Linked DNA regions of Astyanax mexicanus. The protein of the gene in region 2 interacts with the protein of the main gene of each other region in a pairwise test. Links are inferred from orthologs where the notes say so. Each region holds a gene or a part of one and is shown on either strand. Other genes may lie near its edges.

Region 1 (8,801 bases), on a different chromosome or scaffold from region 2:
GATTTATTTTTGAGAGTGAACCGAAAAAATTGTGTGTGTGTGTGTGTTTGTGTGTGCAATAAGAGAAAGAGGGAGTTATGATATTTAATCCATATTTCAGCGTAAATAAAAAGTAATCTATCCTCTGAACTCGACAGTAAGCTGTTATATGGTCAAATAAAACCTCTAATACATCACCAGGCTTTGTAAATTTGGTCATGTGATTAATGCGTAACTTAACAATAAATCTGTTAAAGTTTCCAGATTAATTGTGTGCGTTAATGCATTAACATTGACAGCATTTAATAGTTAATACCTGATCACAGCATACCTGTATGTCTTGCACTGTTTTGTCGAACTTGTCTGTGAGCTGCTCTGTAGCATTCCACAGTTCTGTTGTTTCTTGCTGGGCTTGTTTCTTCATAGATTCTGAGTCCATCTTTTCCAGCATCAACCTGGACCTCTCTGTATCTGCAGCTTCCACAAATTTCTGATAGGAGCACAAGCGTATTAAACAAATACCTGACCAAATCAGATCCATGAGTAAATATTGTTCAGCTTACAGAATACAGGCCAAGTGTTGTTAGCTTCCATTACCTTCCATTTCTCCAGCTCTTCCCTAGCGTCAGCAATCTGCTGCAACTGCTATATGATAGAAACATCAAAAACACTGTGTTAAAAAGATATAATTAAAATTAAAAACATCCTTAAAAATCCACAGTCAATTCCAACTTAATATATAATGTTGATATAACACATAGATGCACCTTAAGCTGATACATGTATACTTATTAACCTCTTACAACCAAATGCTGCTTACTTTTGTCTTTGATTCAGAAATTATTCAGATAATATATACAAAACCACAGGTGCCTCATTTTCAGTGAAAATAGAAAAGTATTATAAATAAGACTTTAAATCATGAGAAAATTATTTAAATATACAGAAAAGTTTTTTTTTATTTCACAAGGATTAATAAATAGTCATTTTTATATAAAGTAAATCGACAAAAGAATGTTAATATTTAGGTAAACAATTATTTCCAAAAAGAATGTCAAAAATGATAAGAAAACAAGTTCAATTTATTATTTCTATAAAATAAGACAAACTTGATATAACTTGATGTTATTAGTTCTACAAAATAGATAAAAAATATTGTTAAAACCACTATAGCCATTATCTATTATTCTGAAAAAAGAAGGAGAACAACTAAAAGTCAGTCAAAACTCATGAAGTTTAAAAATCTCCATATTTCTCAGATTGTCAATCAACATCTTGACCACTGACCAACAGAAGTGTTCCAAAATTGCACACTGACTTTTACTGAACTGGACCCAGGTTTCCAGAAGTATCTTAGCATTAAGTAAATCCTATAAACATGGAGTCTTCAGTGTAATGCTCGCTCATCCATCTAAGACTTAGGTATTTGCTCAGCAGCTTTTGTAAAACCAGGAGACTGAAGTTAGCTTCTTATTCGGATTTTGAAGTCCACCTTAAAAAGTAGAAATAACAATGTTGTGCCAGTAGAGAGCGGGATTGGGCCAAGCAAGACAACTTTGGCATCTAATGCTAAAGTTCAGAGGGTCATAATAATAATAAAAAATATTGTTCAATAATATTCATTGTCCTTTAGGATATTTACAGTGTAATAGTTATATTATTATAATTTGGTGTTACCTTTATCAGATTATTTAGTCATTTGGAATTAGGGCAACTGGAAATCCGCAGAACAGGCCATTTATTCTCTGAATGTATTGAAAAAAATTAAAAGACCACTTCAGCCTCAGTTTCGCAATTTATAGGTATATGTTTTGATTAAAATGTACATTGTTGTTTTATTCTATTAACTACGGACAACATTTCTTCCAAATTCCAAATAAAAATATTGTCATTTAGAGCATTTATTTGCAAAAAAAAAAAATAGAAATGGCTGAAATAACAAAAAAGATTCAGAGCTTTAGACCTCAAATAATGCAAAGAAAACAAGTTCATTTTTATAATTAATCACTTCAGAAATCAGTATTTGGTGGAATAACCCTGGTTTTTAATCACAGTTTTAATGCAGCTTGGCATGTTCTCCTCAACCAGTCTTACACACTGCTTTTGGATAACTTTGTGCCACTTCTGGTGCAAAATATTAAGTAGTTCAGCTTGGTTTGATGGTTTGATTATATTCCAGAGGCTTTCAATTTGCTAAAATCAATCAATCAATTTTTCTAGAGCTGTATATTTCTTAAATGCCAAATTTGTCTTGGCCCAATCCCGCTCTCTACTGGCGCATTATTGGTATTTCGACTTTTTAAGGTGGACCGGAAAATCTAAATAATATACTGGGAAAACCCACACCTGAGAGTTAAGAATTTGACCCTTTTTTGATGTGAAACGAGCTATACGTTCTAAAGACGTTATGGAGCGCGAGAGTATCAAAAATCGCATTGAGCGCATAATAAAAAATGCTACACGTTTTAAGAAACTGGATACAGTATTTCACGTAGCTACTCTCACGTAGCTCACTCGGTCTTCTCTCGCCGACATTTCTAACCGGGGGGTGTCCTGTCGAGTTGTGCTTCCCATCGATATATGCTTCTTTTCTCCAGTGCGCCTGCGCGGACTCACATTTTTTGTAATGTTTCCACGGTTTTTTATGATTTATGATTTTTCTTTTAACGTCAACTCACTGTTATTCTTTGTTTAAGTGATAGACAAGTATAAATAGCAAAAATGAATAAAAAATACCAATAATAAGCTATACAAAAATCTTATTATTAAAAATCTTATGATTAATCTTATGATTAAAATCTTATGATTAAAAATCTAATCAGGTCTCATTGCCGTAACTTTTTTTTTTTTTCATACAGTGAGTTAGATAAAGCTTATGGAAGCATACCTTTGGAAGCATATTTCTTAAACAGTGCCTATTTGTGTATTTTTACGTTTAAATATACACTAAGGTAGCACGATTTGACAGGGTAGCACAACTCGACAGAACACAGGCTATAAAGACGTTACAAAGCGCGACAGTATCTAATCGTATCTAAAATCGCATTGAGCGTATGATAAAAATAAATCAATTGCTACACGTTTTAATAAACTGGTATATGATTAACGACTATTGCTCGTAGCTTTTCTTTTTTTTTTTTTTTTTTTAAATGGGGCGAATCCCGAGACGAGCAAAACACGCTTACCTCGCCGTTCACTTGCTCCCCTGTATCCGTCATCTCTAACAGATTTCTGCCGAGGTCTGGTCTCCCCTTTAAAATCACAAGAAACGCAAATAAATGCGCGAATAACGAGTAAAAATGGGATTTATCTGGCGTAGCTCCCCGCTGTTTGTGGTTGTGTTCGGGTTGTGTCTCTCTTCCTGGAAAAGCAGGCGAGTGTCCTGAAGTAAAAGTGAAAGTAAAGTAAAGTAAAGTACAGTACAGTACAGTTCGGACGGGCTTCAGCGAGCTCCTCCGACAGCTGTCTGAAATGGACAGTTCAGGAGACTGTCTTCAACTTTACTTTAGTTATTTTTAAAGTTCTTACTGAGATTTCTGTGAGTTTATCTGAGATTCTAAACGTCGAGATGGAGACCGCCAAAAGAAAACAGAGTCAGGATGAGAAAACACTGGAGCTGGAGGGTCTTCCAGATGATTTTCACCGTGTGAAGTCCAAACTAGAACTGTACTTCAAGAACAAGAGACGGTCTGGAGGAGAGATCCTGGAGATCCAGGAGCATCCAGAAGATCAGAGGAAAGCTCGACTTATCTACATGGATGAAGGAGGTACGTTCATAAAGCCAAAACTACTATTTTCTCTCAGAGAAGAGTAAATGGGACTAAACTAATTTTGGAGTCGTTGGAGGTGTACCCTCTTTTCTTGACTAGGGTAATACTCCAAATTATTTAGAAATATTTTGATTTGATTTGACATACCTACTAAGAAAAAAATGTACTTGTTGCTGGGGCAGTACCTTATATTGAGGTACAACAGAGTATCTTTAACTGAAAGACTTTTTTGTAAACATGTTTTTGTAACGTTACCAGTAAAGATTATAAAAATTATAAACATTATCATCAATTGAACATGTGTCAAGGACTTGATGATAAAAATGTATAATTAAAATATATATTATTTATTGGTACAGTGATTCAGAATACAGAATGTACTTTTAAGCTGGTTAACTGGTAAAAATCTCTACTTCCTGCTGTTAGAAAAGACTTTGTACTTCAGACGGAACACATCTGATCCTGTAAAGACCAATATTATACCTTTGAGGGTACAATTATGAAATGTGTAACTTTTTTATCTAGTTTTTTTAGTGTGTAATCAAAACTTGTCAGTGTTAAATCAACAATGCGACTGCTAGATTGAACCCTTTCAGACCCTGCATCAGTTACAATGGACATCATGTAGTTTCTCTTTCCAAATGTATTTTTTTTTTTTTAGAACAGAACAGAACATTAATTGAGACCTGTTCACCTGTCCATCAGAAAAGATCATAAACCAGCCAGTGAAACAGTAGCTTAGCCCCACCCACTGCACTGAAAAAAATAAAAAACAGCAACTTGGACATTAGGGCATGTCAGCACTATAGAACCAATGAGGCAAAGTAGTACAAGAGACTTAGAACACTTTGTATCATGTTTAAAAATCTGGGTTAGTTGGATTTATTTTATATGGATTTTATATTAGGATACTAGTGTCGATAATAGTTTTTTGTGTGCTTTACAGACACAAAACAGTCTTCCTATATTTTTCCATCCCGAGAACATAATTCAGGTCTAAAAGGGTTAAATGAACATTGTTAGACAATAGTTTAACACTAAGGGCAGTATTCCAGACTGTGAAATTTAGTCTATTCGTATATTATGTTTTCCTTTCAATGGAAAATCTTCAGTGAAATAGTGTGTAGTCAGAGACTAGGCTTAATCCCTGTCTGGAGAACTGACCCCCCTTAAAGTGTTGATTTACCACTGCCAAATTTGCTGTGTATCTTAAAGGAGAAATACAGTTTGAAATGGACTTGAGGTGTAGTGAAACATGATAATGAGTATAAACTTTTGTCAAATAGCCCAGCACTGTTTTTCTCCAGCATTCCAAAATACAGCAAAGAAATTGCTATTTTTACAACAATAACTAGCTCAAAGTGGCTCCACACTGAAGGCCCCGATTTTAAAATGAGGCACGGAGAACTTCGAAAGTGAGCAGGTAGTTTATTAAAAACACTGTTTATACACACAGTACCTTCAGGTAGTTATTCATTTAAATGCATGACTATTATAGATCTGTTTTTTTTAGCAACAGCTCAATTTCATGCATTTACACAGAATTAATTCTGCAATATGTTCCCCTATTCTAACCTTTCATTCATAAAATGATTTAAAAATTGTTAGTTTAAAATTATTTTCAACATGGTGGCACCCAGAGACTTTTCTTGTGTAATTTGTACATACCAGTCAGCCATAATATTATTACCAGCTGCCTAATACTGAGTAGGTTCCCCTTGATCTACAACAACAGATCTGACCATTTAAGGCAAAAACCATTTAAACTCCAAAAAAAAAAAACTAAAAGAGGAGGCCTGTGGTATCTGGCACTAAGACTAACATTAGCAGCAGATCCTTTATGTTCTTTAAGTTGTAATGTATGAGGCGTTACTTGTTCAGTCATCACTGCATACCAGGAACACCCCACGTGACCTGCCTAATATTTTGATGTCCTGACTCAGTTGCTTACACTATCATATGTTAGTCTTATCACAATAGCTATTAATACTAATAATCTTTTAACAACCATTTTTATGCCAATATTTTAGGTATTGTATAATTGTATAACAATACAATTACATCATTTTAAAGAAGATGGAACTTTTAACAGCTAAGAATATTGGAATTGGAATATTGGATATCTCTTAAATTTCATTGGGATAGGAATGTAATTTAAGAAATATCATAAATAAATAAAATGTAAAAAAGCCAAATATCAGCTCATTCATATTAATGGGCTTTCCTGCTCACAAAAACATTACAGATAATATTGAGGTCAACTAAAATTATTATTATTATTATTATTTAGGGCTGCAAATAATGATTATTTTGGTAGACAAATATGATGATTTTTTTAAGTTAGTCAGTTAGTCAACAATTAGGAGTCAATTGCTTTAAAATAAAAAACACGCTAAACATTCAATATAAATGTCCTTTAATGTGGAAAATACTGATATTTAGTGAGTAAATATGGAATCTGTTGTGTTTGGGCACTTTTGGAGATAAATGGTAAGTGTAAAATGTATGACTGCATTTCAGCGTTTAATGCACATGTCCATATACAGCTCTGGAAAAAATAAGTGACCACTTAAAATTCAGATTTTTCTTTGATTTTACCAAATTGAAAACCTCTGCAATATAATCAAGAGGAAGATGGATGATCACAAGCCATCAATCCAAGCTGAACTGCTTGAATTTTTGCACCAGGAGCGGCATAAAGTTATCCAAAAGCAGTGTGTAAGACTGGTGGAGGAGCACATGCCAAGATGCATAAAAACTGTGATTACACCAAATATTGATTTCTGAACTTTATGAATATAAACCCTAATTTCTTTGCATTATTTGAGGTCTGAAAACTCTGCATGTTTTTTTTTTTATTTCAGCCATTTCTCATTTTCTGCAAATAAATGCTCTAAATGACAATAATTATATTTGGAATTTGGGAGAAATGTTTTTTACTTCAACTGTCAGTGGTACTAATGTTATGGTGGATCAGTGTTAGTTAATAATTTTATTGTGTCGTATTTATAAATTGTAAGTCTGAACCGTGTCAAATAATGCATTATCATTGTCTAATCCTCAGAATTAAATAAAGTACTGGAGAAGAGAGTTCACCAAGTGGCTTTTAAAGGACGGGGACTTGTTGACGTGACGGTGAAACGTCTGGAGGACGAGAGCTCAGCCTTAAAAAAAATGAAACCTCCTATTTTACCCAAACCCAAACTGGAAAAACTTGAACTCAGCAAATCAGCACAAGCCGCTGACGTCCAGGTGACTTCTCTGTTTTTATCTTTGTTGCAAAACACTGTTACACCTGCCGGAGGAGCTCGTTTTTCTAGGGGAAGTCCAACCTGACGTTTCATTAATCAAATAAACTTTATTTTCCTGATTTATTAGAAACGACAAGACAATGGGGAATCTGAAAATGAAAGCATTTAAGCAATGCTGATCATGACGTTAATAAGGAAGTATAAAACCATGACTCAGATTAAATATATGATAAGCCTTCCATTCAGATCAGACCTTCATAAACAACACAGCAATAGATTTATGTGTTTGAATGTTTCACATTCTTGTTTTTGCATTTTAGAAAGAACAAGAAAAGCCAAAAAACAATGTCTATTATTTTTATAGTTAAACCTGTAACACAATTAAGAACAAAATGTGTGTTTTTTCACACAACATATCAGTAACTAAAGGCTAGGGATGAGTTGATATGTTTTTTTTTGTCCAAAACAGTAATTCAACAATATCAAACAATTGACCAATAAAGGGGATGTTTTTTTTTACAGTTTTAAATAATGTTTCAATAATTCACCATTGAATGAATAAAAGATGCCTAAATATACTTTTAGTTGTATTGTAAAGAAAAAAACTATTATAAAACAAAACATTTTAACGTTTTGTTTTATATATCTCAGCATACTTATCTATTCTGTTCACAAATGTACCCTAGCAGTGCTATTTTTATTATGAATTTACTTCATTAGTGCTATTCTGATTATGAATCTACCTCAGCATTACTATTGTTATTATGAATTTACTTCATTAGTGCTATTTTGACTATGAATTTACCTCAGCAGTGCTATTTTTATTATGAATTTATCTAATTAGTGCTATTCTGATTATGAATTTCCCTCAGTAGTTATATTCTTATTATGAGTTTATCTTATTTGTGCTATTCTGATCATAAATTCACCTCAGTAGAGGTATTCTTGTTATGAATTTACTTTATTTGTGCTATTCTGATCATGAATTCACCTCAGTAGAGGTATTCTTGTTATGAATTGACTTTGTTTGTGCTATTCTGATCATGAGTTTACCTCAGCAGTTCTATTCTTATTATGAATTTATGCCATTTGTGCTTTTCTGATCATAAATTTACCGCATAAATGCTATTCTCATATTCCATTTTGAATTTATCTCAGCAGTGCTACTCTAGGCTAGGGCTAAGGTAAGCCCGCTAGAGGAAATCTCTGTAGATTTTCAGATTTAAAATTTTTCTTTGACTGAAACTGCTGATAAGGTTGAAGTGAGCTGTATGCTTTCTTAAAAAACATATATACAAGTTTTATTGTGCTACATGTTTTTTTTTTTGTTTGTTTTTTGGCCAAATAATTTTTATATTCATTGCATCCGTAGTATTTTTCTGGCAAAAACACATTTATTGCTAAGAAACCCTGAAGCAGCTTTAAACAAATATAATGAAACCCTAGATGTTTAGCACAGTACTGTATAGAGTATATTCCTGATCAATTTGTTTAATCTCTTTGTCTTTTACATGGATTTGCTGTAAAGGAGTCTGTCTCTGAAATTCCTGAAGGTATTATTATGCTTATTATGCTCAGCGTACTCTCAATGTATTACTGTTGTATTTGTAATGCAAATAAATGTATACTTTATATACTTAATATAATATTTTATATACAATTTATTCAGTTTAGAATTTGTTTAAAAATATATTATTTAGACTACAAATGTTATACTGTTCATGTTTGGTTTATATGCAGTTTTACCGTTTAGACTGGTATAAATCTGTACATTTTATAGTGATTTATATTATATACTTAT
Region 2 (8,054 bases):
TTGTTATTTTACAGTGCATCTACAGCAATGTTCTCTATGTGTTTAATTAGTACTATACTGTTCGGATTTCCTTGTAAAACTACAATACATAATTTTTTAGTAATTAACAGATTTACAGCCCATAGATCATAAACAGCATAGACTGTTTCTAAACACAAATAATCCAATCAGCTTATTTATATATATGAATATCTATCTATCTATCTGTCTGTCCGTCCGTCCGTCCGTCCGTCCTTCTATATACACCTTCATGTATGTTTGTGTATATATGTTTATATATCTGTGAAAAACATTGCTAAACATAAGCCGTGATCACAATAATTTATCAGCACTGTTTAAAGATAAGGTTACCATGTATCCCCTAAGCTCTGATTACAAAACAACACATGCTTTGGTTCCCAACACCACAGCTAAAGCATTCCAGTGTTGTCAGTTCCCACTGTCCGCTCTACTTTCACAGCATCATAAATCCTCAACACCTGTGCCCCCAGCAGGGAGGCATTTACCAGGATTAAGACACTGTTACATTAAGACAAATTCCATCTCTTTGGCTGCCAATAGCCTTGGACTATTCTATGATGCTAAATAATTACTGTCCTAAAGTGATATCTTAAGCTTATTTACGGCATATTAATTTTTATTAAATGTATTAAAAGATCCTGCAGACTTACGAGAGAATGGGAAATGTGATTCAATAAATATTTGAGCCCTTCCAACAAATACTATAACTACATGTTAACCATTTCTTTCTTACAAGAGAAATCAGTTATTTTATTAACTACTCCATAATATTTCCTTAAAAGAGCCTAATGAAGCAAGTTTTTTATGTGAAAAATAAGAATTCTTCCAAAAAATGAGAAATGCTCACAACAGTCTGATCCTGTGTAAAGAATGCATACTGTGAGAGGGCTTTATCTCCACTGAGAATGAAGGCGAGCGAGGAAGGTGGAGGAAGATGAGCTCAAAGAGGGGTGTGTGGGAAGAAGAACAAGGAGGATGATGAAGGTGGGAGATGAGAAAGGAGGATGAAGGTTATGTGATGCATGCAAAGAACAAAAGGTTGGTGTGGGACATGATGAGAAATTCATGACTATTGCATCTCAAAAACTTAGGAGAGGGTGACGCAATGATGGAGGCTACTGTAGAACAGACTGTACTGTAAACACATTGGACATTTTTAGCCTCGGCAGCCTAATAGATTGTAAGTCGCTTTGGACAAAAGCATCTGCCAAATGTAATGTAATGTAAGGTAATAAAAAATAACATTTCTAAACTTCTCTTCTTGCCCAATTCATGCCCTCATATGTCTCTTTATGTTCTCCCTTCTTGTTGTTTGTGTACAGAAAACTGTGGCCATGAAGGATACATCAGCTGCATCCTCAAAATCACTAAATGCTGGCTGCGTTTCACAGCTGTATATGAAATCCTTTACTTGGAATAGCTGCAGCCTAGCTTTGGAACAGTTTTTTTTTACTTCTGTGTGAAACGATGAGGCTGAACTCCTGCAGACTGATAAGTAAGTGGATAAGTGTTAATGTATGGAGTTTTGTGTCATTACAAAAAGTGTAAATGTCAAATAGGTTGTTTTTCTCTTTGCAGTTTAATATCCCTTTGGACACTGTATGGACTTAATCACTTTATCAGTGTTTTGCATTGTACATTAAAGCAATGAAACTTTTTTTTTTATCATATGGGTCTTATAAAGGAGCAACGACTGGAAAATGCTTTGGGTAACACTACTTTTTTATATTTGTCCAATATATTATTAACCCTTTATCCATGTTTATTTTAAGCTTGATGTGTGCTGGGAAATGAAAGCTGTGTGCAGAGGTCTGTAAGCTGCCTTCTGCTGCACTGCAGCCAGTTCGCTGAGGAGTGCATTACACGACAGCAGCTTTAGTGAAGCTGGTCAGCCCACTCTGTCAGTGTCAGCTGGAGGCCCTTTTTGTGTTTCAGAGCAAAGGAAATCTCATAGAGATGTTTGATGAGAAGCATTAACCCGGAATAACCGGCATTTCTGGGCCACTGTTGGAGAGTAGAGCCTATCAAAGCGGCTCCAAACGTGGCGAAGCAGCATGTGTGAGATGCAGTGTGTCGCGGCATTGCAGCGAGGCGGATGGCTCATCAAAGCACACTTGCAGTGCTTCATGGCCTTTAAGCTTTTAACAAGCCACCCCTGTCATGCCACAGTAACAACACAAAGACAAGATTATTACAGCACCACATAAAAGTGGTCGCTGCAGACACTTCCAGACTTCCATATAGAGGACTGATATGCCATAAACCTGAGCTGATAGGCTAATGCATGATCTCGTCCTCTCAACGCTCATCTCCACAGACAGACACCTTTGTTTGGTTACAGCCGCTAAAATATCAGCTCTTAGTCAGGAGAATCTGTTTCCCCGCACAAACCCCATACATTTTTAATGAGAGCAAATGGAGCCACGCATTTAGGAGTAGTGTGGGATTCATGGCGCACATGTAACTCAAGATAAATAATGCAGTCTCTACGATTGCAGCCATTTCCCTAGAGGCCCCACATACTCTCATCACCCCACTCAACAGGAGGCCTTTCTACTTTGCAGTATATCTTTCAACAATTACACTCTATAAAAAATAATGAAATAAATGGTTTCATGGCATGGGCATATGGTTCCTGGAAAAGGGCTTTAATTGGTGTAGAATATTTTTACACTATATGGAGATTTTCTAGACCACATTTAAGCATGTTTTAGAGATAAAAATGCTCTACCAACAAAACTCTAATTAGCAAACTTAACAAAAAAAAAACAAGAAGACTGGGAAGTTCCACTTTATTTCAATATCCAGTCATTTCAGTCAGAAAGAAGCTGACCAAGACTTTACATGTTCTGTTCGTTTTTCCAAAGTTGTGCAAATACCAGCTAATTACTGTAACATCCAACAGCTTGAAATCTCTAAAAGTATATTTGACATCTTACTCCCGCCTCTCAAGTGAGTCTTAGGATTCTCCCACAAATTGATTGTGGTTCCCTGGCACCTAACATACACAATCCCAGAAATTGGTACACTGTATATGAACCACTTGCACAGTTTTTGGGAGTGATGGAATGAGCAAATGAGTGAGAGAGGTTACAGAGAGCAACCTGATTGGTCTGATTGGTTTCTTGCTCAGTAGATCTACTCTGGAGTAGCTGAACCATGAAACAGAGAATCGTTCCAGAACAAATCATCCAATCATCCAATTGTAGCTTAAAAATAAATAAATCAGTAAAGGGTCTAATGTTCTTTTGTAGTAAACGATCTCAAATCAAAAAAGTTGAGTTAGAACAGCTAATTAAAATAAAAAAAAATCTGCTTTCCAAACTCGAATAATGCAAAGAGAACAAGTTAATTTTCATTTTAATCAACAATACTAATAGTTTAACCCAATAAGCATTCAGAAATCAATATTTGGTTAAATGATCATGTTTTTTTGATGCTCTCCACCAGTCTTTCCCACTGCTTTTGGGTAACTTTATGCCACTCCTGGCTCAAATATTTAAGCTTTAGCATTGTTTGATGGCTTCTGACCATACATCTTTCCTTTGAAAATTGGTCCAATTTTCAGCTTTGCCCAATACCTGGTCCTCTATTGGTTAGACAAAGTCCTGGAGAGGCGTACAAGCCAGACTGTCCTTGCGTCCACTGTGAAATTTGGTTGAGGATCTGTGATGATCTGTGCGTTGTTCAGCAAGGCTGGAATCAAGTCACATTCAAGGTTCTCCTGCATCCAACAGGACAATGCACCATGCCACACAGCTAGGTCAATTAAGGTGTGGATTAAGGACCAACAGATCAAGACCCTGCCATGTCTAGTCCAATCTCCAGATCTGAACCCCACTGAAAACCTCTGGAATGTAATAAAGAGGAAGCTGAATGGTTAAAAGACATCAAACAAAGCTGAACTGCTTGGATTTTCGCTTCAGAAGAGGCATAAGGTCACCAAAAGCAGTGTGAAAGACTGGTGGAGAGCATGCTAAGACATATAATAGCTGTGATTAAAAATAAGGAATATTCTACCAAATATTGATTTCTGAATTCTTCTTAAAATAAAATGTTAGTATTGTTGTTTCTAAATGAATATGAACTTGTTTTTTTTTGCATTATTTGAGGTTTGAAAGCACTTCACCTTTTTTGTTATTTTGACAAATTTTATGCAAATAAATGCTCAAAATGACAATATTTTTATTTACAATTTAAGAAAAATGTTGTCCATAGTTAATAGAATAAAACAACAATGTTCATTTTACTCAAACATATACCTATAAAGAGTAAAATCAGAGAAACTGATCATTTTAAAGTTTTAAAAACATATTTTGTTGTGGGTTGAGACTGAGCTGTTGTAACCTGTCTTACACATTTAACCTATATCGTACATCTCAAACACACACACACACACACACACACACACGCAAGAAGAACAGGCACGAAGCGTGCCTAGAACAGGGAGTACTGATCTGAATCAGGACGCTGTGTTCACTGAGTTGTGAGTCAGGTGTTCACCGGTTCATCCGGGTCTGTAGGCGGCGGTACTGTCACGAGTCTGCTCGTCGGCCGCCCGCTGTGTGAAGAGCCGAGAGAGAGCAAAACATCAGAGAGAGGGAGAGAGAGGAGCTGCAGCAGGTAAACTACAGTCATTTACTACCGGAGTTTAACTACAGTCTTTACTACAGGAGGGTGACAGCTCGAGCCCCTGAGAGAGCAGTGTTCTCTGGAGTGGGCGCCGGGTTTAGAGTCGCTCCAGACTCGCGTTTATACTGGATACACCAGACCCTGAATCCCAGTTCAACAACAGCTAACCTAACCTAGCCACCACAGCTACCAGCTCCGGAGAGGGGCAGCGAGCTCTGTTAGCGTAGATAAATCAGTGAATTCTCTAACATAGATCTCACTAAACGTTCCACTAAACCTCGCTTCAGTCCAGTTTAAAGCGGCTCTGCTTCATAAACCAGTGAAGGAGGTTCGTTCGTCTGGACTTCGGCTCTAGGGGGTGTTGTAGGGGTGCAGGCCAGGTTAAAGGATTGAGGGTATAAACATCAGATTTCTCATTAAAAACAGGCCACAACAGAATATGTATATATGTGTGTGTGTATTTATAATAATTAGGGCCGTCAACGTTAAAACGTTAAAGCGTTAAAGCGTCAACGCAGGTGATTAATTTGAACCAGTTTTGCGCCATAATCTGTCCCACCCAACGCGTGGATTTTATTTCTGAAGCGGTTGTGGTGATAATGTGATGTCTCTATCTGACCCAGCTATCAAATATAATTATTTTTATTGTGCTAACTGCCCACATTTGGGGTAATATCACGAGACGAGACGAGACACGACACTGGGTTCACAAGAACGAGACGAGACGAGAAAAAAAAATGAAAGAAAACGTAAAAAATGAAAAAGTTTTATTTGACAAAATCATATAACACACACTTAACAGACTGGTTTCTCTCCCATTTTGATTCTATAATTAATAGAAATAAGAATAAAGAAAAAATAAATATAAAAAATAAAAATAAAACTTTTCTAGGTCTTATATAGTGCAAACAATAAGTGCAAACCACAACCAGTCATATTAAGCCTATGGTTTGTGTTTTTTTTCTCCTAAATCTCTTGTAATTTAACTATGCAGTGTTTTTTTAGGCAGTGTTTTTATTATTATTTATTTTAAAATTACTTTACATTTTTCAATATTTGGACATATTGATTGGAATACAAAAATATTAAAATAATCCAAAATAATTTATATATATTTAATTTTATTTAAAGAAATCTCAAAGATACTGAAATGAATACTCAGACAGTTCCACTGCTTCAAAGCTCCACTCCCCAATTTATTATTTTCCAGTTCTTCACTTCTTAACATATAACTTTCACTTGCTTCATGTCTCATCCCAAGTCTTCTTGTTTCTGTCCAGGATGGAGTTCGCCGAGCTGATAAAGACCCCCCGAGTGGACAGTGTTGTTCTTCACCGTCCTTTTCTGCCAACAGTGGAGGGAACTTTGTGTCTCACTGGCCACCACCTCATCCTCTCCTCTCGACAGGACAATACAGAGGAGCTCTGGCTGCTTCATTCCAACATTGATGCCATCGATAAGAGGTTTCCTGTGACATTAGTTTTCTTTTTTTTAGGGCAGTAACTGATTGCGTTTACTCATACTCAGTATGGGAAATTTGGGGGAAAAATGAATTTGTTGCACAAGGGAACATGATTTATTACTGGCTGCAGATGCAGTCCATCAGCCAATACATATTTGCATGTATTTTGTTTATGAAAGGGAATGCTAGGTTAATGTGGCTTACTACTACTGGGCTTGAACTGTCATCACAATAAACCCCTTTGCCTTCAAACATAGCCAATCCCTACCTAGTCCTACAGTATTCAGCAGTGGCACATCTTTGCCTTTATATTGTGAAGAGTTAGTTGGCAGAATGTGATATAAAAATGGTGTTGTAAATTAATAAATGATTTAATCCTAGACATATGTGCCTAACGCTGTTAAAATTAGAGATGGTCAAGAAAGAAAGAATACATTGCATGTAAAAATCCTCTGTTTTAGGTTTGTTGGCTCTCTAGGCACAATTATTGTGAAATGCAAGGACCTGCGAATTATTCAGCTGGACATCCCTGGCATGGAAGAGTGCCTTAACATTGCCAGCTCCATTGAGGTGGGTTTAAATATTTACTTAGAATAACTGTAGTCAGACTTGTCATTATTAATCACTGAGACAGTTTAATCATTGATTTGGTCTGAGACCCTGACCTTCTTTTGGTGTGTGCCTGTAGAGTTTATGCTTACACAAGTTGAACAGGCTGGTGTTTTTATCACGGGGTGTCATAAAAAAAAAAAAAAACTACATGGCCATAAAACAGAAATATATTTCCTTATGTTTACATTGAAAGTCAGTGTATCAGTGTATGTGAACAAATTACAGACCTGACAGCTTTTTGATAGGGTATATAATTTTCTTATAAAATTTATTTTTCAGGTGGTCACTGAATTAATCATTAAGTAACTGGTACAAAATACAATGATTACTAATGTACATATTAGATACAATTTTAGCAAATACATTGTGAAAAATATTGTTGTTTGATAAAAGGATTGGTATTACTGGTCTTACATCCAGTCTCCCCTTCTTTAGGCATTGTCCACGCTTGACTCTCTCTCCCTGATGTACCCTTTCTTCTACCGCCCTATGTTTGAGGTCATTGAGGATGGTTGGAACTTGTTCTCACCAGCGGAGGCCTTTAAAGACCTGGAATCAATGGTAGAGTTTTATTGTTTGTGAGGACAGTATGGATATGCTTTACTATTCAAAACTTGTTAATCTCTGTTTGAAAAAAGCAACACAGAATAATAAGCCTAAATGTACTTTTTCCCTGTTTCCTGCTGACAGACAGATGAGTGGAGACTTAGTGAAATTAATAAAGACTTTGCCGTTTGTCCCTCCTACCCATCACTGGTGACTGTGCCCAAGGACATAGATGATGACACTCTTTGCAAAGCTGCTGCATTTCGCCATGGAGGACGCTTCCCTGTGCTCAGCTACTACCACAAAAAGAACGGCATGGTCAGTTAGGAACTTTAACCATTGGTTGTTTTGTTTAAGGTCGAATCAAAAACGAATGGATGTAAAATATCTCCTTCCTTGTTTTTAGGTGATGATGCGAGCAGGGCAGCCGCTTACAGGAACCAACGGCCGCCGCTGTAAAGAGGATGAGAAACTAATCAACGCTACACTCCGTCCAGGAAAGCGTGGGTACATCATCGACACCCGCACCATTGCAGTAGCACAGCAGGCTAAAGCTCGTGGAGGCGGGTTTGAACAGGAGGCCAATTATCCACAGTGGAGGAGAATCCACAAAGCTATTGAGAGGTGAGGGAACGCTGTTTACGAGAAGGATAGTAAGTATATAAGAGGAATGAATGTAGTTTCAGCTGATATGAATCGTACTTGCATTTTTTTTGACAGAACACTTGAAGAAGAACTAGAAGTGTTTGATCATTGTGATTCATGTAATTTAAAAATGGCC
Region 3 (7,908 bases), on a different chromosome or scaffold from region 2:
AGGAGATATTAGTTTATAGACACCCTCAGTAATCACTCCTATACACTAGAATAGGAGATATTAGTTTATAGACACTCTCAATAATCACTTCTATACACTAGAATAGGAGATATTAGTCTATAAACACCCTCAATAATCACTTCTATACACTAGAATAGGAGATATTAGTCTATAAACACCCTCAATAATCACTTCTATACACTAGAATAGGAGATATTAGTCTATAAACACCCTCAATAAACACTCCTATACACTAGAATAGGAGATATTAGTTTATAGACACCCTCAGTAATCACTCCTATACACTAGAATAGGAGATATTAGTTTATAGACACCCTCAGTAATCACTCCTATACACTAGAATAGGAGATATTAGTCTATAAACACCCTCAATAAACACTCCTATACACTAGAATAGGAGATATTAGTTTATAGACACCCTCAGTAATCACTCCTATACACTAGAATAGGAGATATTAGTTTATAGACACTCTCAATAATCACTTCTATACACTAGAATAGGAGATATTAGTCTATAAACACCCTCAATAATCACTTCTATACACTAGAATAGGAGATATTAGTCTATAAACACCCTCAATAATCACTTCTATACACTAGAATAGGAGATATTAGTCTATAAACACCCTCAATAATCACTTCTATACACTAGAATAGGAGATATTAGTCTATAAACACCCTCAATAATCACTTCTATACACTAGAATAGGAGATATTAGTCTATAAACACCCTCAATAATCACTTCTATACACTAGAATAGGAGATATTAGCCTATAAACACCCTCGATAAACACTCCTATACACTAGAAAACAAAACAACTTTTATATCATACAAATATAACCTAAGTAAATATATAAAGCACTATTTAAATTATCATTTCATTTATTAAGTGAAAAAAAAACCTATCCAAACCAATTTAGCCCTGTGTGAAAAAGTGTTTTGCCCCCCATAAATTAACTGCTATTAATCACAAGTTTTTTGTGAAGCTGATTTCAATTTCACTACTAACCACAACCAGGCCTCATTACTGATTCCAGACCTGTAGAATCAAGAAATCACTTAAATAGAAGCTGTCTGACAACAATAAAATCAAAGAACAATAAAAGCAGATAACCACAGTGATTCACTATTATTCACTAATGGAGAAAACATGGTGAACACTGGTGAACCTTCCCAGGAGTGACCGGCCGACCGAACAAAATTACTCCAAAAGGGCATGAAGAACTCATCCAGGAGATCCCAAAAGAAGCCAGAACAACATTTAAAGAACTGCATTTCTCATTTAAATTATATTAACTCAGGTTATATTTGTCTGTAATTAAAATGTGTTTGTTAATCGGAAAAAAAATTATGATAAAAAAGCAAAAACACCACAAGAAATCTGTAGGAAGGCGCAAATACTTTTGCACAACACTGTATATACAATATAAAAGGAGATAATTGTCTATAAACACCCTTAATAAACGCTTTTATACGCTAGAATAAGATATATTATCATTAGAATGATTTGTAGTATTTATTCAGTATTCCTCTGCTGCACTGTTTGCTGTGTCTCTGAGAGAGGGTGCATTTGTTTCTGATTGAGCTCCTGCATAATTTGGGGGAAAATAAAAGGGTCCAGGCAGCAGAATTTCGCTCATTAAAGCAACACGTGCTTCCTTTTAATAGCGGCGCTGTTTTACCACCACACAGCGAGATCAGATCAGTCCAGCTCAGCCAACACCGGCCAGATCTGCCTTCAGTCCAGTTCAGTAAACATTAAAAACCCACTGTTTTCCAAACAAACAAACGATCAAATTGATATATTAGGCGCTCAGTAAACTACTTAAAAAAAAGTTAATGTGCTAAACATTTGCTTACACGCAGATTAGAGCTATCTGGGCATCTGCAGACCCTTAAAAAGTCTTAAAAAATCTTTTCTTTATTTAAAAGAAAGAAAGACCTTAATTTCTCTTAAAACATCTTCCAAATTTGATATGCAAGTTAGTTTACTGATTTAACAGCAGAATGAACCAATTGCATTATTTAATGCTCTAAAGGACTAAAGATGTTCTCAGATACGCCCAATACTTGTTTTTATCTAGCGTAGATGCTACTGTATGCATGGGGAAAACTATAGACTTGGGGTTAGATAGGATGCATTATTTTGTGTTTGAACATGTATATATAAATATTTGTTTGTCAGATAATACAGCAGCGTACTGTTTAGTTTGTAAACTTAAATTTGGTGTTGAGCTTATTGCTGTTTTGTTTTTTGTTTGTTTTAATTGTATTAATTTTATCTCTGAGTGATATTATAAATCTAATTTACCCATAGGTGCATTTGCTCTTAGAAATCTAAGGCTAAATTAAGATGATTCTTACTGACCATATATTTTCGCCTTTACCTAAAATCAACTGGGAGAAAGGTTTTCCTACTCCTCCATGCAGAATTCTTTCAGCTGCGTGATGTTTGACAGGTTTCTTGTATGAAAATCACCCCACAGCATCAGAGTACAACCTGATCTAAAGAGTAATTTTTACAAATCTGACTTAAAAAGACAATTTCTGGATTTGTACATTTGTGTGTATAAATTCACCGCCTCCTTTTTATGCTATTTTACAGTAAGGGTTATAAACTGATGATTCTGGGGGAATTGTTGGACACTCCAGATGGAAAATTACAGTTTTTAAAGTAGAGTTTTTTTAAAGAAATGAGATGGAAAATGGGTGTGGCTTTGGGTTGTGTTATTGAAACATGCGGGGATGGGCGGAGCTACATACACATCATACTGCAACCAGCCAGCAGAGGCGCTAGACCTGTACAGTTATTCATTAGCATTCATTCAATTATAAAACAGGGTTACAGTGAACACTGATGTCTTATGCATGTTACATATTATGTTCTGTGTGTTATTGATTATTAAATATTAAGTGTATGAAAATCAATAATCTATAATCTATAAATCTACACAGAATTCATATTGATATCAGTCAGCAGGTTATAAACTGCATGACTGAGCCGAGGGGGGGTGGAGATGGTGGTGGTGGGGGTGTTGTTTTAGTGTTAAAGTAGGATGTCCCGAGGTCACAGGGGTCACCTGAGGACAGGTGATATAGGACACTGTGCCTGTGGTCACCTGTGGTGAGCCACATTACTGAAATACCCCGTATACCACCCCCAACACCCCACCCACCACTGCAGGCTATTTCAGCCGAGGAATTCATAACGGCTTCCTCAGATACCAGGAAAATCCTCCTGTAGCTGCAGCATCTATATATACAACTGTTTTTATTTAGCATCACAGAGGATTCCGCTATCAACAAAGCAGCTTTTACAGTTTACAGATACACCTGAAAGAAAAGCTGCTACAGTGTTACAATAAAGTACAAGGCTTTTATTTGATTTCAGACAGCATTAAATCAAGATATTTCATATTTATTAAGCCCTATCCTTCCTCCTGCCTGGTTTAAACAGCAGCAGAGCTTCTGAATATATCTACACTGATGGGCGTGGTGTTCTGGAAATGAGGTGTGTTCAGGTACATTTCTGGAGTTTTATCTTGTTTATCTTGGTAACAGAAAACACAGGAGCTCCACTGACTGAATACAACCTAGACAGACGCCAACAGTCAGACGATCATCGCTATCTCGGTAACACAGGCGCCGTGCCGAGCCGAGCGTACACCCCCACTTATTACACACACATGAACACACAGCAGCACAAACCCAACTTTTACATCAACAATAAACAGAATAGTAAATAAAATAACATTGCTGTTCCCGTAAATGAGCTGCTGGAGCTCCTTCACAGCGTCAACCAGCAGCTCAGTTTCCTCTGCTGAGAAGAGTTTGTTGAACACGTCCAGGTAGCTGCACCGTTACAATAGCAATCCACCAAAGACAGAGCTCACCTGATCTACTCTTAAAGAGAATGATGAGCAAACAGATGACACTCTAATTGGTTTATTTATTTCATATTACGCCCAAAATTAATTAAACACACCCATGATTAATTAAGAGAATTATTACATGACTTTGCTTTGCATTTAGAGCTGTGCAAGGTGTACTTACTTTTCCCGTCGTTACGATAGCAAAGACACACTGACACGCCCTAAATCAAATCAACAGTTTGCTTACAGATAATAATATTTTTAATAATATAATAATGTTGAAACATGAAATACGTTGGGTTCATACTGTCTGCAATGAAATGAAAGTTAACCTTTTTTTATTTTGACAATATTTTGAGTGTTATATATATATATACATATATATATATATGTATATATATATATTTATAGAAAATTTCAGATTAATTTTAATTTTAATTGCATAATGCTGACTGATTCTTGTTTTTTTATTGATGTTCAACAGAATTAGCTGTTTTTCACTGTTTTAAAAGCTGTTTTAAGCAGATTTTAAGCAGATTTTTGGAGTTTACCGGTTTAGAGACACGTGGCCTGATTCACTTTTACTGAAAACAGGCCCGGGAGTGAGCTGTGGTACTGATCCAAAAGTGTGTGTGTGTGTGTGTGTAAGAGTGTGTGTGAGGGTTTTCTCTGAGATTACTCATTTTGGGAGTAGAGGGCGGGGAGTAAATGTGGGAGGGGCTAGTGTAGGAGGCGGGGGAGTGGGTGGAGCCTGCACACAGGCTGCTCTGGAGCTCAGAGGGACCTCCCAAACTCAGCAGAGCCCTGGATCTGAGCGCCCGGACTGGATGTAGCTGATCTTCCAGAGCCCTGAGAGAGCCCGGGGGAATGGCAGCCGGGCTGTAGAGGGTCGTACCCGCCCTGCAGGAGTGTGTGTGTGCCCGGGGAGGTGTGTGTGTGTGCCCGGGGAGGTGTGTGTGTGATGAAAGCTGGCATGAGGAGCTCAGAGAGGAACACTTGAGCAGCTCCAGAGGAACTCCAGTCTGTGTTCTGTGTCTGAAGTGAGGGATGGACCTGCTGCTGGTTCTGGTTCTGGTGCTGCTGGGGCTGTGTGGCAGTGCCAGGAGTGCGTGGCACAACCAGCGCAATGGGCTGGCACACACACAGGTTGGCACGGCGCCCCGGGCGGCCAGCAGACACAGGTAAGATCATTTTACAGCTCAGAACTTCTGGGTGGGAGCTCTGCTGTACGGGCTGGAGCTCATTTACTCACTTACTGAGATGTGTGAGGTTCTGTTTGTGGTTCTGTTTGTGGTTCTGTTTGTGGTTCAGTTTGAGGTCCAGTGTGGTGCAGAGTGAGTTATGTTCTGATTCACACATCAGAACTACTTTATCAGACTTTATGAGGTTCTGTTTGAGGTTCTGATGGATTATATTTAAGGTTCTGAAGTTTGAGATTCTGTTAAGGTCCAGTCTTAGGTTAATTTTGAGGGATTTTTTAAGGCCCTGAATGAGATTCTGTATGAGATTCAGTTTAAGGTCCAGTTTGGGGTTCTGTTTGAGAGTTAATTTGAGGTTCTTTTGCAGTTTGATTTAAGGTTGTGTTTGTGGTTCTGCTCAATGTTCTGTTTGAAGTTGTGTTTGAGGTTCAATTTAAGTTCTGTTTTTTGTGGTTCAGTTTTGTCTAAGGTCCTGTTTAAGGCAATGTTTCAGTTTCAGATTCTTTTTGAGGCTCTTATTAGGTCCAGTTTGAGGTTCTGTTTAGGCTGGTGTTTGAGGCCCTGACTAGGTTCAGTTTGTGGTCTAGTTTGAGTTCAGTTTAAGGTCTTTTTTGAGGTTCTGTTTAAAGTCTTTGTATCAGGTCCTGTTCAAGATTCTGTTTGTTGAGGTTCTGTTTGAGGTCCAGTGTGAAGCAGTGAGGTATGTTCTGGTTCACACACCAGAACTACTTTATCAGATTATGAGGTTCTGTCTTAGGTTCTAAACGCAGCCCTGTTCATGGTTCTGGTGGATTATATTTGAGGTTCTGAGGTTTGAGATTCTGCTTAAAGCCCAGTGTAATCCTCTTTTTGAGTTTCTGCATGGTGTCCAGTTTGTGGTTCTGTTTGAGAGTTAGTTTGATGTTTTGTTTGAGGTCTGATTGGGTTCGGTTTGAGGTTTGATTTGAGGTTGTTTATGGTTCTGTTTGTGGTTCTGTTTGAGATCCAGTGTGATGTAGAGTGAGGTATGTTCTAGTTTTTACACCAGAACTACTTTATCAGACTTTATGAGGTTCTTTTTGAGGTTCTGATTGTGGTCCTGTGGCCCCGTTCATGGTTCTGATGGATTATATTTGAGGTTCTGAGGCTTGGGATTCTGTTAAGGTCCAGTATAAGGTTTTGAGGTCCTGTTAAATGCCACGTTTGAGGTCTGGTTTGAGTTCAGTTTAAGGCCCAGTGTAAATGTTTGTTTGAGGTTCTGTTTGAGGTTTGATGTAAGGTTGTGTTTGTGGTTCTGCTTGATTTCCAGTTTGAGGTTCTATTTGAGGTTTTCTGAGTTCTGTTTGAAGATGTGTTTGAGGTTCTGTTTGAGGCCTTTTTCATGGTTCTGGTGGATTATTTTTGAGGTCCAGTCTAAGAATCTGTTTAAGGTCCTGTTTCAGTTTCTGTTTGAGGTTCTGCTTAAAGGTTCCGTTTGAGGTCTTATGTGAGGTTCTGTTTGAGGTCTTATGTGAGGTTCTGTTTCAGATTCTGTTTGAGGTTCTATTTAAGGTTCTGTTTGAGGTTCTGTTTCAGTTTCTGTTTGAGGTTCTGTTTGAGGTTCTATTTAAGGTTCTGTTTCAGTTTCTGTTTGAGGTTCTGTTTGAGATTGTTTGTGGTTCTGTTTGAGGTTCTATTTAAGGTTCTGTTTGAGGTCTTATGTGAGGTTCTGTTTCAGTTTCTGTTTGAGGTTCTATTTAAGGTTCTGTTTCAGTTTCTGTTTGAGGTTCTATTTAAGGTTCTGTTTCAGTTTCTGTTTGAGGTTCTGTTTGATGTTCTATTTAGGGTTCTGTTTGAGGTTCTATTTAAGGTTCTGTTTCAGTTTCTGTTTGAGGTCTTATGTGAGGTTCTGTTTCAGTTTCTGTTTGAGGTTCTGTTTGATGGTCTATTTAGGGTTCTGTTTGAGGTTCTGCTTGAGGTTCTGTTTAAGGTCCAGAGTGTTCCTCTAACATTCTCTGATATATGTTCTGTTTGCACCGCAGACCCACTTTATCGGATCAGAATCATGAGTACTCACACTGTTTGTACCATTTTATAAAACTGTATATAAACTGTATATAAACTTTATATAATCTGTATTGTGGCTGTATGTGGACGCTCTGCTTTACCTCACACTGAGAGAAAACTCGACCTGACAGCACATACAGCACTAAATACATCACTGTTAGATGTGAGACACTGATTTATAGCTCTTTTATGAATCTGATCACCTCTCTCTGGAGTAAAGTACACGCCCACTGTGTAGTAAACGCCAGCATTAATGCTGGAAATAGCTCTGGTGTTTTAGATACAGGAAAAAGGAACTGCTATTATAATCAATATTAATAACTACAACTCACCATTATGAATATTATCTGAGTAATTTAACCCAGTATATAAAAGAGCACTTCAGTTTCTGAATCAGTTTCTCTGATTTTGCTATTTATAGGTTTATGTTTGAGTAAAATGAACATTGTTGTTTTATTCTATAAACTACAGACAACATTTCTCCCAAATTACAAATAAAAATATTCTCATTTAGAGCATTTATTTACAGAAAATGAGAAATGTCTGAAATAACTAAAAAGATGCAGAGCTTTCAGACCTCAAATAATGCAAAGAAAACAAGTTCATATTCATAAAGTTTTAAGAGTTTAGAAATAATCAATATTTGGTGGAATAATCCTGTTTTTTAATCACAGCTTTTTCATGCATCTTGTCATCATGTTCTCCTCCACCAGTCTTACACACTGCTTTTGGATAACTTTATGCTGCTTTACTCCTGGTGCAAAAATTCAAGCAGTTCAGTTTGGTGGT
Region 4 (7,251 bases), on a different chromosome or scaffold from region 2:
GAGTTATAAGATGAAAGATTTAGGGATAAGTTAAAAGTGTTTATTTATTGACTATCTGAATAAATTGAGAGACAATACAACACTCCCAGTCATTTCAATATCATTCTAATATCATGAAATATAAAAGTTGCAAAAAATGTGCATAATGACAACAAAAGGTAAGACTATAGCTTTACATAATTTGACAATTTTAGAAAATTCAAGTGTTTTTTGTGCCAATCTGAATGAAGTTACCCACAACACACCACACCCAGTCATTTTCCATCTCATTTGAGTTATAATCTTATGAAATATAAGAGTTGAAATAAAATATCCAAAATCACACCAAAAGGTACGATTATAGCCTTATGTAATTTATCAATTTTAGGGAATAATTAAATCTGAATAAATCTATACACAAAATCTATACACCATTCCTACACATTTCTCCAGTCATTTGAATTATAATATAAAACATTAAGAATTGTTTTCTTTTGGTTGATTTATTTGTGTAGGAATTTGTTTTCATTTCTTGTTTTTGGTTTAGTTTTGTTGTTTTTTTTCTTTCATTATTTATATATTTTGCTGGGTGCCTTTGGTTAATAATGGTCATTGTAAATGTCCTGAGCTCAGGTGCTCCAGTCTGAGACCATTTTTACATCCTGTATACACTTAGAAAAAAGGGTTCTATATAGTACCAAAAAAGGGTTATTTGAGTGTTAATGGTTCTATGAAGAACTATTACCTTCACCAAAGAACTTTTGAAGAACCCTTATATATATATATATATATATATATATATATTTATTTATTTATTTATTTATTTATTTTTTAACATTTAAATAACCAAAAAGTGGTTTGTTACTTAAGGGCAACCTACACCATGCCATGGAGGGTATAGATTTCTTAAATGTACATGATTCCTTGTTTTTCTTCATATTCAGGATTACTTCAGTATTATATTTACAATGTAGGGCATAAAAATCATAGAATTAACATAGAATAAGAAGGTGCATCCACATTTTGACTGTTAGATTATATGTATGAATTTCGCATATAACAACAACGCAGGACTCAATCTTAGAGTAATAAAAATAACATTAAAGTTTAATTATAATCTTTGGAAACATATAAAACTGCACATGTATTTACAAACCATATTTAAACATTTCTTCACAGTATTTACAGAGTTAACAGTAAGCAGGAGAGATAATACAGCAGAAGAATGAAAGACTAAAACACTAGAAGGGAGATCTGCTGCAGGTCCGAGTGCAGCTGCTCGGCGCTCGGTCTCAGGTTCGGCTCCGCGCTCCAGCAGCAGCTCACCAGCTCTGCGCACGCGCGCCCCGCGGAGCTCCGGTGGAACACGTCCCGGTCCAGCTGCGGCCGCAGACCGTACGCTACCACGGCGTAGATGACGCACTGCCGCTCGCCACGGTACGGCACATCGCGCGTGAGCAGCTGCCACAGAGTGACCCCAAACGAGTAGACGTCGGCGCGCGCAGTCACACGCTCGCCGCGGAGCAGCTCGGGCGCGCGGTGCGTGTACGTGCCGCCGATCTCAAGGGCGCACGCCGCGTGGTCTCGCCCGAGCTGCAGCGAGCAGCCGAAGTCCGCGAGCTTGCACACGCCCGCGCGCGACACCAAAACGTTGGCGGGTTTTAGGTCCAGGTGCGCCACGCCGTGCGCATGCAGGTGACGGAGCGCGCACACCACGTCGGATGCGTAGCGCACGCACAGCTCGGGGGGCAGCGGCCCCGCCCCGTAGATCACCTGCTGCAGGCTGACGTCTCCCGCGAACTCCATCACGATGGTGCCCACGCGCCCCTGATCATCTTCCTCTTGGTTCTTGTCCCCAGTGCGCGCACAAGCCGTCGCAGTCTTAATTGTAGTCGTCGGCATCATCGTCGTGGCCGCAATCACGCGCACCAGGTTGTCGTGGCGCAGGTGCGCCGCGTTCAGCTCGGCCCAGAAGCTCTGGCGCGAGGCCAGCGTGTTCCTCGCCCGCCGCACGCGCTTTACCGCCACCGTCTCTCCAAAGTACGTGCCTTTGAACACCATGCCGAAGCCCCCGCAGCCAATGGGCTCCAGCTCGTGCAGCTCGCGCCACTGCACCGCCGACGACCAGAGTCTCTGAGCGAGCTTTCCGTGGGTAGCGGTGGGCACACGCAGGGAGGATGATGCACCCGCGCGCCTGCTTAGCGGGCTGCTGAGGGTTCCGAGGTCGAGGCCGAAGCCTCGTGGCAGCAAACGGGTAACGGGGATGGGAGAAGGCATGGCGGGAGAGCAGCAGCGCCTTCTAACATTTTGGATTTGCCTCCTATATGTCACGTGCGTGCTTTTGTAGATGTCACGTGACCGCTAGGGTCAAACTGGGTCAAACTCTGTTTGTTTATTATTATTAAACTAACCTTCAAGTGTCAGTGTAACGTTTATTAATTTAATTTTCTGACAATTGGAGGCTAAATGTAAATTTACAAAAAATGGATGTAAAATCTCCATTATTTATTTTTTTTAAATGTAGTGCAGTGTACAAGAAATAAGTGTTTTCCTTTCCATTTATTTCCAGTCCATTTTTGTTTTTAATCTAAACAATGTGCCATATCACCCGTCTCAAATTGAACACATAGATATTAATCAACATGTATTTTTTTAATTTAAAAAAGAGAAACTTTGATCCTATAATCACCCCTGGTTTGCTTGATTCCAATTCCTTGCTGTAAGGGCATGCTCCATGCCCTTTATAGCATCTTGCCAGAAACAGAAAGTTTATTTGATTTTCTATTAACTATTAATTGATTAACTATTATTATTATTTTTTTATTATTATTAAACAACAAGCCTATGACTTTTATTTTGTAATACAGCCAAGCATTTAGGAAATACAACCTGAGATTGTTTACAAAGATTATCCACCAGAGGGCAGAAAACACGTAGAGATATTATGCTCTGTTTTACTGTTTTTCAGTTATTATTTATTGTAATTAAATGATATTGTTATAATTAATATATTATTTAATGGTTATTTAAGATAATTATGTTTTTTTTTACTATCACGCTGCTGTGACGATAATTTTGATGTCATAAACGTCAAAATTATCATTCAGAATCGCACACTGAAAGTCTCATCCCACCTTAAACATCAACTGTTTGTTTGACCTACTACTCTGTCCATCACACATCATTAAAACACAACCAAAAACCCACACAGACTGTTTTAGTGCTGTCTGCATTCACACACTATAACTTTGAGCTTTATATATTATTATATAATATATTAAAATACCAAGAGTGTGCAGATCTGTCCTCAAAGATAAATGTGCTACTTAGAAGAATCTAAAGTATAAAACATATGTTTTGTTAATTACATTTTGTTTAGTATATTTGTTAAACAATAAGTCTGCATATGTTCCTGTATAGATTTAATGTCTTTATATATATATATATATATATATATATATATATATATATATATATATATATATATATATATATATATAAAGACATTAAATCTATACAGGAACATATGCAGACTTATTGTTTGTATGTATGTATATATATATATACATACATACAGACTTATTGTTGTATGTATGTATATATATATATATATATATATATATATATATATATATATATATATATATATATATATATACATACATACATACACGCAACCGGACAAAAGTTTTTGAATGCCTCTATTGTCTAGTTTTCCAGACAAGATCCTTTGTACTGCATACAAAGGCGTTAAGGTAAAAAAAAAAATCCATTGCTACTTAACAGCATATTCTTTTCTGGACTTTTTTGGATTCATACCTATTAGTTTTTAGAAATGAAAAATCTGGCTTTAATTTACGTTTAATTCAATACAAACCCTTAAATCTATACCTAAAAATATTTTAGTTTCTTTGATTTTATCAAATTGAAAAACCTCTAAAACATATAATCAAGAGGAAGATGGATGATCACAAGCCATCAAACCAATCTGAACTGCTTGAATTTTTGCACCAGGAATGGCTAAATTTACCCAAAAGCAGTGTGTAAGACTGGTGGAGGACGTGCCAAGATGCATGAAAACTGTGATTAAAAAGCAGGGTTATTCGACTAAATATTGAAATATTGAATATTTCTCATTTTCTGCAAATAAACGCTCTAAAGTGGTTTATAAAATAAAACAACAAAGTTAATTTTACTCAAACATAAACCTATAAATAGCAAAATCAGACAAACTGATTCAGAAACTGAAGTGCTCTCTTAATTTTATCCAGAGCTGTGTTAAGGGCCCGCCCATATATATATATATCCCTTACAGTCCCTGATAATATCATTTAATCTTTAAAAAGTGTGACCCCACAAACAGTTCATTAGAAGGTGCTTTCCTCACGAAACTCTTATTTGTCTACCATGTTTCAGCGCAGCCATTTAGGGGCATGTTTCCATCTCTCGTTTTCTTGTTTTGATCCTCGGGCCCTTCGTGCTGCAGCTCACCTGTTACCGCGCGCTCTTACTGCGCCGACTCGCGGGGGGGTTTCCCAGCAGTGACGTAGGGGGATTTCCACCCGGTCAGCTCGGGCTAGAAGAGGCACAAAGTGAAACGAATTTGGTAGAAAACGTGAGTTATTTTGATACACGGGCAGAAGCAGAAGTACAGCAGCGCTGCAGAGACTCAGAGCCGCAGTCACCGACCTTTAGTACAGCTCCAATGAGTACATAACCCAGCTAACCGGACCTCAGCCCAGTACCAGACTAACCCTGTTTTACCAGCCTAGTCCTTCACCTGCCATGAGAAATATGAACGGACCAGCTCGCAACGGTACCCTAGGCACTGGCGGTAAGTGACAGCGAGCTAAAACATCTATAAACGTGTCGATAAAAGTCTGTAAAAGGTCTGTAAACGCTTGTTTACTCTGTGCGCGCGCTAAGGCTAGCTGTGCGCATGTAGGTTGGGAAAGACACGTTTTGTAAGAAGTAAAGTTAGCCATGGAGGTTTTATGTCATATTTTTTTCCTAAATTATACAAACCATAATAATATAGTTGTACGTTTTTGGTAGATTTTATGTAGAAAAAATATGTATTTATAAATGTATCTATTTGTGAATTTAAGCATTTTCATAAATATATCAATTCATTTACAGCACTATCCGGCTGTCTACAGTGTGTTTATTGGTATTAAAAAGCGTAAATTAATAATAATAATAATAATAATAATAATAATAATAAACGATGAATGTTAGTATTTATGTCGTTTTGACATAGGCGTGAAATCCAAGTCCAAAGATTAGCTATAAATCCATTCCAGGATTTTGTTCCAACCGCCTAAGAAAGCGTGGCTCCTGGGCGCTGCAGCGCAGCTTTCTTTGGCAGTTAAGACAAAATCCTGGAATGGATTTCTAGCTAATCTCTGGACCTGGATTCTGGGGCGGATTTTACTTTTCTGGTCCCGGATTCACTACTATTAGTTTTAAAAGTGAAAAATCTGGCTTTAAAAAACAAACCCTTAAATAATCAGATATAAATTAGTCTCTAATTAGGTGTATAATGTTTATTTTTATTGTTATTATTATTATAATGTGCTTATTATTAGCTAGAATAGGTAACCGAGCTAACTATGCCTAGTCATGGTGCTCCGTCTTTTCTCTATACTAGTTCCTACTATTGACGTTACACAGCATTGCGTGATCTAGAAGAGGCAAATCAGCTCAATTCAATCAATTCACATGCTGTATATGCTTTATTCTACCTCATCTGGGACTGGTGCGGTTTATTGTGTAGGAATAGAATGGTGTTGTTGTCTGTTAGCCCGCAGGGCTGTTAAGACTTTCAGTTTCACTTTCCTTGTCTGTTAGTCTGTGGATTTAACTGGTGCTGTTTTTCTCCTCCACAGCTCTCGACCTTGGTAAGTGGACCATTTTTATCATATCATTTTACATTTAATATTATACAGTATACCAGCCTCTATTATTTTGAATGTATTAATAAACGAAATTGAATAATAATAATAATAATAATAATAATAACAACTTCTCACACAACTCTTTCTGTACCTGCACTTTACTCTATTCATCTAGTTCATCTATTGGACCATTTCCTCACTTCCACACACGCACTATAGATATCTGCATTTTTCAGTCATATTTTTTAGTCATATTTAACATATTTCCGTGCAGTACCATATGTCTGTATGTCTATAGTCTGTAAGTTATTGTGTGTATTGTGTATATTATGTATACTGTAAAGTTAACTATATATTTCTATTTTAACTTATTATTGTACTTTGTTGTAAACATTGTTCTCTACATACTAGTGGGAACCTGCACCCAAGTCTTTCACTCACATGTACACCTGTACTTTGTGATGTGTAAAAAATACAATTTATTGAATCTTGAACCTAATAATAATAATAATAATAAAAATAACAAGAATGTAAGGCCTAGGCTAGTTAAATAAGAGCAAATTCTTATTTGTAAAAAAAAAACATTTGTGTAATAGAGGCAGATCAGTTCACATGAGTAAACAAATTAATACATTTAAAACAATAAAGCGCATTATATTAAATCGGTAAAGTGCATAGTGGCATACACTCTCAGAAGCTCACATTAATTCAGACTTCCCACAATAAACATAAAAGAGCAAATTAAAATAAATAATTATATAAAAAAATACCATCTCGACACACTATACAACATTCAGGAACTCCGCCCACATTGCTTTTAACCCCCACCATATCTACTAACATAACCCACACATCAAGCCCACAAAACTTACTTCATCATAAACACTCAACACAAAATATATACAATTACCATGACATGTATTTTAACATTTATTTTCTCTTTAATACCATAAAATGAATTAAACTAGAAATCACACTAACACATTCATTTTATAAAGTGATTTTTCCTTACATTTTAATTGAATACTAAAGTGTATTAAATTCCAGACTATGAAGGAACACATACGAAATCATGTAGTAACTTAAAAGTGTTGAACAAAAATACTAGGTGGTCTTTTATCCGGGGTGCTGTTAATCTGCGGTTTCCGATGATGAACTTATCATTGTGACTGCACTTGAGAGTACTTTCTTTCTTTCTTGACATTTTTCAAATTGACTGACCTTCATTTCTTAAAGTACCTGTAATTTTTGCATTACTTAGTTGAGTCTTTCACATCATAATATGGATTAGAACATTTACAAGTTCACTTAGGTGTATCGTTAATACGTACAGTTTTAATAATAAGAAAATAACAATTTAATTGCACAATTTAAC

The links.
Region 1: the proteins of mtmr9 (region 2) and nmi interact in binary tests that used the Homo sapiens proteins (3 or more experiments, as listed by UniProt). The two-hybrid records come from large-scale screens. The link is inferred for Astyanax mexicanus from reciprocal best matches to the Homo sapiens genes MTMR9 and NMI.
Region 3: the proteins of mtmr9 (region 2) and emilin1b interact in binary tests that used the Homo sapiens proteins (3 or more experiments, as listed by UniProt). The link is inferred for Astyanax mexicanus from reciprocal best matches to the Homo sapiens genes MTMR9 and EMILIN1.
Region 4: the proteins of mtmr9 (region 2) and mos interact in binary tests that used the Homo sapiens proteins (3 or more experiments, as listed by UniProt). The link is inferred for Astyanax mexicanus from reciprocal best matches to the Homo sapiens genes MTMR9 and MOS.

Annotation. Positions count from the first base shown.
Region 1 is NC_064418.1:15,939,982-15,948,782, forward strand, and holds the start of nmi (N-myc-interactor), read right to left. Parts: upstream 3,819-8,801; 5' UTR 3,747-3,818; coding exon of another isoform or gene 3,548-3,746; 5' UTR 3,508-3,547; intron 3,362-3,507; 5' UTR 3,198-3,361; coding exon 3,165-3,197; intron 625-3,164; coding exon 577-624; intron 470-576; coding exon 311-469; intron 1-310. Other genes in the region: protein mono-ADP-ribosyltransferase PARP14-like, read left to right, coding at 3,548-3,746, 6,814-7,001, 8,529-8,553. UniProt on the Homo sapiens protein: Acts as a signaling pathway regulator involved in innate immune system response.
Region 2 is NC_064408.1:71,153,879-71,161,932, reverse strand, and holds the start of mtmr9 (myotubularin-related protein 9), read left to right. Parts: upstream 1-4,536; 5' UTR 4,537-4,644; intron 4,645-5,933; 5' UTR 5,934-5,934; coding exon 5,935-6,116; intron 6,117-6,576; coding exon 6,577-6,685; intron 6,686-7,162; coding exon 7,163-7,288; intron 7,289-7,417; coding exon 7,418-7,591; intron 7,592-7,679; coding exon 7,680-7,897; intron 7,898-8,054. UniProt on the Homo sapiens protein: Acts as an adapter for myotubularin-related phosphatases. Increases lipid phosphatase MTMR6 catalytic activity, specifically towards phosphatidylinositol 3,5-bisphosphate and MTMR6 binding affinity for phosphorylated phosphatidylinositols.
Region 3 is NC_064421.1:627,425-635,332, reverse strand, and holds the start of emilin1b (EMILIN-1b), read left to right. Parts: upstream 1-4,689; 5' UTR 4,690-4,942; coding exon 4,943-5,076; intron 5,077-5,082; exon of another isoform or gene 5,083-6,910; intron 6,911-7,018; exon of another isoform or gene 7,019-7,908. UniProt on the Homo sapiens protein: Involved in elastic and collagen fibers formation. It is required for EFEMP2 deposition into the extracellular matrix, and collagen network assembly and cross-linking via protein-lysine 6-oxidase/LOX activity.
Region 4 is NC_064425.1:6,570,158-6,577,408, reverse strand, and holds mos (proto-oncogene serine/threonine-protein kinase mos), read right to left. Parts: upstream 2,320-7,251; 5' UTR 2,257-2,319; coding exon 1,213-2,256; 3' UTR 1,060-1,212; downstream 1-1,059. Other genes in the region: transcription factor RelB, read left to right, coding at 4,765-4,813, 5,868-5,879.